Canis lupus familiaris: one gene and its partner. The protein of the gene in region 2 purifies or fractionates together with the protein of the main gene of each other region. This does not show direct contact. Links are inferred from orthologs where the notes say so. Each region holds a gene or a part of one and is shown on either strand. Other genes may lie near its edges.

Region 1 (4,177 bases), on a different chromosome or scaffold from region 2:
TCCAGGGCAATTTTATAGCATCCAGACTTCTCACATCTAGGAGACAGGAATTGACCTCTGTACCCAGGCTCTTCCTGTGTTTCCTCTTCTCTTCTGGGGAGGGATGAAGGAGCTCTTTATAAAAAGTATATTCTCTTGTGCATATACTCTTGTCACAGCTGAAAAGGATGGAAAGAAGTTGGCATGATTATTCCCATTTTGTAGGTGAGGACTCTGAGGCTCCAAGAGGACTACTAACTTATCTGCTCAGGATCATGCAGATTTGCGGGGGGGGTGGGGGGGGTCTGACTCTGCAAAATGCAAAGCTACTGATTCCAAATTGCTGTTCTTTCCACCAAACTGAACTGTGTTCATGTCGTTCTGCTGGATGAACTACTCACCGAGATGGCTATCCATTTATAATCACTTCGGATCCCAGGGCTACCATAACGGAGCTCATGAAGCAGCCTTACAAATGTGAGTCTCACATGCCAGGTTGTTGAAAGAACTGTGCAGCTTTTTGGCACCCCCACCAAGCCCTGAAGTAAGGGTAACCTGAGTGGTATCCACCGTCGTCCTAGTGGCAACCACATCTATCTTGTAAAGAGAAGTAGCAAAGACTCAGGAGGCCACTCAAAAAACAACTTTGGTTGGACCTGTATTTCCAAGTAAGAGAGAAAATAATCATACAAGAAAGCAGTTTACATGATGAGCAAAGCATCTTCCAGGCAACACATAGCCTCAAAAGTGTTCTTTCCTCCACACTAAGCCCCGAGGGTCTGAGAGTGCTCCCCAACGCAGCAGCATGGGGCATTATATCTTAAGAGGTTAGGGACGCGTTTGGACTGAGACTAGACCCAAGCTCAAGCCTCAGCTCTGCCATGTCCTAAGTATTTGAGCTGAGGCAAAATAGCTCATCCTTCAGCCTCTGTTTCATCATCTATAAAATGGGAGAATAATTGTACCTGTGGCAAAGGACTGTCGTGACAGTTAGATGCGCCGATGCATACAGGCAGCACGCTAGGTATGCAAAGTGCTTGCTTACAGACATAGTAAGCGATTCATAAAATCAGTTTTTAGTGCTCTTTGCCAGAGTCTTCCTTCTACTGAGCTCCTGCTGTTCCCCCTGAAATGCTCTCTATTAGGGACTCTGTTCAGAGGGCAGCTCATCAGCAGACCTTCCCTGGCCACCGCACTCAGAGCAGCTCGTATCCTCCCTCCTTGCTTTAGGCTTTCCATGGCACAGATCACTCCCACATGCCATATCATATATTCGTATGTTTACTTGTTTATTGTCTGTTTCCATTAGAACGCCAGCCCCATGATGATGGCACCTGTATTGGGTTCACTCCTGAAGTCTCAGTGCCTAGAGCAGGGTCTGCCGTGTGGAGGGGACCAAGACCTATGTACGTGATGAAGGCAGGTGAGTAGAACACATCTCTTCTGAATAGATTGTGATTCCATACTGTGGTGCAACCTAAAACCAGATGCAGGAGCAGTTGTATATCTGGGACAAGCCTCCTGCAGAGTGCCTGAGAAGGCCTGAGCCACTGAGGTGCTGAGCTGTGCTCTAGTGAGCCCTGCAGCCCTGGAGTGTAAAGCAATCACCGTGCCAGGCTGCAGGGGATCGGAACCGGCTCAGCCATTTTCTTTGCTCCGAAAGTTATAGCCTGAAGTGACTGCCAGGGGAGCTCCCTTCCCTGGTATGCTTCTCTTCCTCTTCTTCCTCCTCCTCCTCCTCCTCCTCCTCCTCCTCCTCCTCCTCCTCCTCCTCCATGCCCTCCCTGGGGATTCATGACTGGGAGTGCAACTTCCTCAGGGACAAAAAAGCATGTCTTAAAAGTAACCTGTGGCAATGGATAGTTCACTGCTTTTAAACTCACAAATTATTTTTTCACTGCAGTACACAGCTCAGATCATGATTTTCACTAAGTAAAAGCAAAAATGGGTTTTGCTCTTGGCTCTCCCTGGTTGCCGCTGAGGTGCAGCCACCTGTTTTCCTGATGCTAGGGCCCCAGGGATGGCACCTAGTGGGGAGAGGTAAGGGGGCCACGTGGACAAAGAGCTGCCTCCTTAATGCTGCTGCCGCCTGGGGAAGGCTGGAGTAATGAGGGTCAGTGGGCATTAAACATTCCGGCATTGCCTCTCCAAGGTTTCACGTTTCCCATGAAGGTCCAGGTAGAGAGTGCATTGGACGTGATAAGGCACCTCAGAACTACTAGTGGAGATTGATTTTTTGAGACTCCTCAAAAGGGCATGGAGTTTTTCCTAAAGTTCAAGGCACTTTCAGAGATTGTTGATAAGCAGATGTGTGCTTCCCAAAGCCTGCATAGAGCAGAGGCATCAAGCTAGAGGAAAGAATTAGATAAAATAACAAGTAGCAAAAAGGAGAGCATGCTTCATGAACTCTAGCTTGATCTTACTAGCAGATTCTAGAAGTTGCCTTTGGTCCTTATCTGTGAATTGTTGTCTATGACGTAGACACTGTTTTTCCGTGTTAATATATATGCTAATGTAACTATATACAATAACTCCTGGATAGGGCACGTAAATGAATGCAGTCATTAAGAACTATATTACCTCGGGCACCTGGGTGATGTAGTTGTTAAGGGTCCCACTTTTCATTTCGGCTCAGGTTGTGATCTTAGGGTTGTGGGATCAAGCCCTCTGTTGGGTTCCATACTCAGCGTGGAGTCTGCTTGAGACTCTCTCTTCCTCTGCCTCTGTCCTCCCCACTGTTCTCTCTCTTTCTCTAAAATAAATAAATAAATCTTTTTTTTTTTTTTTTAATGAACTAGATTACCCCAAATCATGCATTTGGGTGCAGGTAAAACCCAAATTATCATGATGATGTAAGGTAGGCCCAGAAATGTGCAGTACAAGTGTTTTTCCTTAGCCATTTCATGGAAAATCACAAGTCTGTGGCCCACGGGACAAATCTAGCTGGATGTCCTGGGTGATGTTCAGGTCTCTGGCTGTGGATGGGCTGCTGCTTCTTTTTCTTCTATTGATTTATTGTAGCCCCTAACTTGGAGTGTTTCTTAAATAAACATAGCTTTTATTGAAGAAAACATCTATCTGGGATTTCCTGGGCAATTGTGCCAGAAGAGTGGGCTTTTTCTGGATGACTATACTCTCTTATGTATGGACAAATACAGCTATGGACAAGTATAGCTCCCACCATGGAAAATTAGGATACTGGAACTATTGTCCTAAGCCCTGGAGCTTGAAGAGCCCGATTCATGCCTCAGATGCTGGTCCTCACTAGACTGGGTAGGCAGACATCTGTGACCACCAGGACTGAAGCCTAGCAAGCAGATGGAAGAGTGTATGGAAGATCTACACATTATGACTTTCATTCCCAAACAACTGCTGGTGGGGGGAAGCTTTTCTTCCCACAGAGGAAATAGCAGCTCCTACTTTGTGCCCCCACTGAATCCAATTGTTACTTCTGACATGTCACCTGCAACATATTATACTGATTTCCACCACCCCTGCCACCTATACTGCCCTCCATCTAATGTCTTCTTGAGGACCCAAGGGTTCCCTGAGCCTGGCACAGTGCCTGGAACATAGTGCTCAATAAAAGGTGGTTCACTTATTTGACTGAGGACCCTTCTCCCTGAAGGAGGCAGGGAGTATTTATATGCACAGGGATAGCCCCTGCCTTACAGTAAAATACAGACAAATGCATGATGGAAGGCCAGGTGTGTAAAGAACTCTGACATGGTAGCTTAGATCCAGAATCCTTACAGAAATCTCTTTATCCAACCCCAAGGGTCAGGATGGCTCAAGTAGCTGGGATTCAGTTGAGCCAGAATGATGGAGTGTTTGTTCCTCTTCTGCATGGTCCTCCATAGAATCCTTGGAGACAGAAACTTAGTTCTGCGTCTCAGCCCATTGATAGCAAGTTCACCTTTGACAGTGATTTAAAATCCCTCAAGACTCAGATTATGTCCAGCTGCTAACCCTGTGGCAATGCTCCTGGTGTGGAAAGAAGTGCACCCAGTGTTGCAGGTTCGTGGCTTCCTGGGGCTTCCTTGATTAAGGAATGTATGCTAATGGTGGCAAAGAAAGGAATAGTCTTGCAGAAGAAAGACAGAGTGCCTTGGAGCCTGAGTAGCAACCAAGTTTCTTTTATTATGGGACTTCTTGTCCGGTCAGCTTCAGGACCTGTGAAGGCTGTTACTTTGTGAGA
Region 2 (4,179 bases):
GGTACGTGGGGGTGTCCGCGGCCACACGTGGGTCGTGCCCTGGGAGCGCGTCTAGGCGGGTGTTCCCGGACCCGCGCGGGGCGGGGCCTCGGCCTGAGAACCCGACGCGCCCGACGCGTAACGAGAGGCCCTCGGCGGCCCCCGCGGCGCGCTGCCTTCCGGTGCTCGCGGGACCCGTTATCCGCCTCCGGACCGCCGTCCCCGGGCCCGCGTGACCCTGCGTCAGTGTCGCCGGTGAAGTGAGCGCGAACCGGGCTGGTGCAGACCGGCTTCTGGCCGCCAAGGTCCGCATCTCACCTGGCGCACTTGGCTCACTTGTACACACCTGTACTGCTCACCTCCTGGTTTCGAGGGGCAGGGGGTAGGACCCGAGGGCGAATCGCATGCGCGGGTCCGTTTGGCCCAGTGCGGAGAAGGCCGGCACCGCCTACCTGGACGCGGGCGCGCACTTCCTACCCCTTTGTTCCAGAAGTTGGGGGGCGTCCTTGGGGAGTGGACCCGGGACCGTGCGCACGGAGGTGTGCGGGGGAGCCAGGCTGGGTCTGCGTTCTCAGACGGAGGATCGAGCGCAGCTGTCTGGGTCCGCGAGACCCGGTAGGCTGCGTACGCGCTGGCAGGGCCTGGCCGGGACCTGGGGGAAGTCTTGTTCGGGGAAAGAGGACTAGGGGTTCCCAGAAGGCGAGGGGGCACGGCACTCGCTGGGAGCGAGCGCGAAGTGCGCGATGCTGATGCAGGTGCCCGCCGCCCCGTGCCGAGGACCCCGGTCTAGGTCGGGCTCCCGCGCGGTGCCTCTCCTCTACGCGGGTCCAAATGCAGAGGGCGCGCGTGCGAGGAACCGGAGGGAGCGCGACGCCCGCCTGCGGAGTCAGCGCCCCATTGGCTCCCCCAGACCTAGGTGGTACCCAGGGGAGGCGGGGTAGGGTTGCCCGATGCAGCTGAAACATCTAGGGAAAACGAATGCGCATTTACACAGGTGCATATGCACTATTACATATATGGAGAAACACGTTTATATGTAAATATATTTACATCTAAGTGTTTATATATAGGTACACGTGTAAGAGTAAATACACACGGGACACCCATTTACATTTGAATTTCAGATAATTGGGTACTTTTTTTAGTATAGATTTGTCCCATGAAGTTTTAGAAACATTTGTCCACAAAAATGGTTCGTTGAAAAAAAAAAAAATGGTTCGTTGTTCGTCTGAAATTCAATTTGAGCGCGCGCCCAGCGTTTTTCTGGCAACCCTGGCGGGAATGGACAGCGAGTCAGGAAGGAGGGCGGTGGGGCGGGGCCGCCTGAACTACAAGCCCCACAATGCCGCGCGGGCACCCGGGGCCCTGATAGGCTGCGCCATGCTTCCGCTCTCCGTCACTTCCGGCCGCGGAGGTAGCGGTTGCGGCCGTCCCAGCTGCACAGAAGCGCGCGGCCCCGGGGTCTGCGGTCGCCATGAACTTCTCCGAGGTGTTCAAGCTCTCCAACCTGCTCTGCAAGTTCTCCCCGGATGGCAAATACCTGGTGAGCGGCGTCGGGCCGAGGAGGGGCAGCTCGGGGGGCCGCGGGTACTGGCCTCAACGAGTGGTCCCTGGCGGATGCCTGCAACCGGGGCCCGGGGCAGGGAGGGGGACTGGGGTGGGGACCCGGGGTGGACACCGGGGAGGGGGACCCGGGTGGACACTGGGGCCGGGGGCCGGGGTGGGGACCCGGGAGGGGGACTGGGGTGGGGATCCGGGGTGGACACCGGGGAGGGGGACCCGGGTGGACACTGGGGCAGGGGGCCGGGGTGGGTACCCGGGGCAGGGGGCGGAGGTGGGTACCCAGGGTGGACACCGGGGCAGGGGGCTGGGGTGGGTACCCGGGAGGGGGCCGGGGTGGACATCGGGGCGGGGGGGGGGCCGGGGGGGGTGCCCAGAGCAGGGGGCAGGGAGACGGAGTGGATACCCGGGGAGAGGGACTGGGGTGGATATCCGGAGCCTGGGTGGATACGCGGGGCAGGGGACTCAGGCAGTCCTGCTCTAAGTCCTGCTCTAAGCAGGGGCCCCCAGGAACTGGACTTGGGCAGGTGTGAGCCTCCCTGCACCTCAGTTTCCATCTGTCAGAGGCAGATAATGGCAATGCTGTCTCCACACATTTGAGGATACGGAGCATATCAGCTCACTGTTGTTATTTTGACGCATAAAGGCAAATATATAATTCCGTTGACTGGACCCTGGTACAGTAGTGCAGCTGCGTTGTCTTTCCCAGGCTTCTTCCCCGGTCTCTACCGTGTGCCAAATAAGTGGTTGAAATAATAGTGTTCTATGTCCAGATAAATGGAGTTGTCTGCATTGCTTTTATTTGAGCTGTTAGGATTTGAGCTGTTCATTACCGGGCGAGAGAATGGTGCTGAAGTCACCGAGCTCCTCTGGACAGGAAATGGAAGTTTTGAAATGTACCAATATCATCAGTGTATATGCTTAGAACCTTGGGTGGGGGAGGCGGTAGGGGGGATAATTGACATGGGAAATCCATTAAGAAAAAAATGATGCCTTACAAAAGGGCATTTGGTTCTCTATATGAACTTATTGATGCCTTATGATTCGTTTTCAGATTGAGGCTTATTAACATTCCTGTTATTTGTCTAGCTCTTTGAGAATATAACTCCTTTATGGAGGCATTATTCTAAATCATGTAAATTAGCATTCAGCTTAAAAATACATAATGTCTTCTGCTTAAAGTTCACCCCAGAAACCTTGGTGTATTTTTCAAAGTGCTCCCCATATATTGGTTTTATAAAAATCCCAGTAAATTACAGAAAGAGACTATATATTAACTTTCTTTTTGTTGCTCTTTGGGCTTCTACACTCTAGTGAAAATATAGCAAGAAGCTTGATAATAATGTTACTGGAATCCTGTTCTTCAAAGCTCTCCTAAATCCTGAAGAAAGTAGGTCTGTGTTGCTATTTTTAATATCTTGCAACAGATTTTTTTTGAAGATTTTATTTATTTATTCATGAGAGACACAGAGAGAGGCAGAGACACAGGCAGAGGGAGAAGCAGGCTCCATGCAGGGAGCCCAACGCGGGACTTGGTCCTGGGTCTCCAGGATCAGGCCCTGGGCTGAAGGCGGCGCTAAACTGCAGAGCCACCCGGGCTGCCCCCTTGCAACAGATTTGATGTGTTTTTACAGAAGTTCCATTTCATAAGGAGTTCATTGTAACTGATTGCAAAGCTACAGTATGACCCATGCTTGTTCTAATCTGCAGTTGCCCTCCCCTTTCCTTTTTTTTTAAAAGAGATTTTATTTGAGAGGGAGAGCACAAGCAGGGTGAGGGGCAGAGGAAGAGGGAGAAGCAGGCTCCCTGCTGATCATGACCAGGACCCTGGGATCATGACCTGACCTAAGCCGAAGACAGATGCTTCACCGACTGAGTCCCCCAGGCACCCCTCCCCTCTCCTTTGGACAAGGACAACTCATGAAGCCTTTGTAAGACGTCTATTCATAGACCACAAACCAATAATCTGGTTTGATCTTGATAAGGACCAGAAGGAAGCCGTTACCGTTTAAAAATCAGTTAAACTGTGGTATAATCTATAGTCAGCAGATGAGTAAACTCAAATTGTTTGCTTAGATGTGGGTATTATTAACAAGTATGACCATAAACTGTCTTCAAGAAAACAGTGTTGACTCTTGAACATTTTGCTAGTCAGTATCCAGAGTAAGGCAGTGCGGCTGTGAGGAAAGCATCTCTGCTTCTCCCTCCTATGCCAGGAAAGTGTGGTCCTCACCCCATACGTCTCCTTTGCTGTCACACTGCTGCTACACTCACTGCACTGCTGACACTCGCGGTCACGTTTGCCAGAAGCGGGGTGTTCCACAGCCCTTGAACCTCCAGGATACTAGTGGGGTGTCCATTCTGGCACTGTGTGCCTTGAGCCCCACAGGTGGACTGTGCCCACCCCACCTCACATGCCAGCCACAGTAGCAAGCCTTCAGGTTACACACAACTTCTGTCTCACTGGACTGCGAGTCCCACATTCCCACAGCACTCTCGGGTTTGATGACTCTTCCAGAGTGGCTCACAGAGCTCAGGGAAACAGTCGCTTGTGTTTGTGAGTGTGCTAAAGCATATGATAAAAGAGACAAGTGACCAGCCAGATGAAGAGATACGTAGGACAAGGTCTGGGAGGGTCCC

The links.
Region 1: the proteins of WRAP73 (region 2) and SSX2IP purify together in Homo sapiens (co-immunoprecipitation; 4 studies listed by BioGRID and IntAct, counting the BioPlex papers as one, with this or other methods). This does not show direct contact. The link is inferred for Canis lupus familiaris from reciprocal best matches to the Homo sapiens genes WRAP73 and SSX2IP.

What each region holds. Positions count from the first base shown.
Region 1 is NC_049227.1:63,688,380-63,692,556, forward strand, and holds the start of SSX2IP (afadin- and alpha-actinin-binding protein), read left to right. Parts: upstream 1-1,313; 5' UTR 1,314-1,402; intron 1,403-4,177. UniProt on the Homo sapiens protein: Belongs to an adhesion system, which plays a role in the organization of homotypic, interneuronal and heterotypic cell-cell adherens junctions (AJs).
Region 2 is NC_049226.1:58,647,700-58,651,878, reverse strand, and holds the start of WRAP73 (WD repeat-containing protein WRAP73), read left to right. Parts: upstream 1-1,364; 5' UTR 1,365-1,453; coding exon 1,454-1,522; intron 1,523-4,179.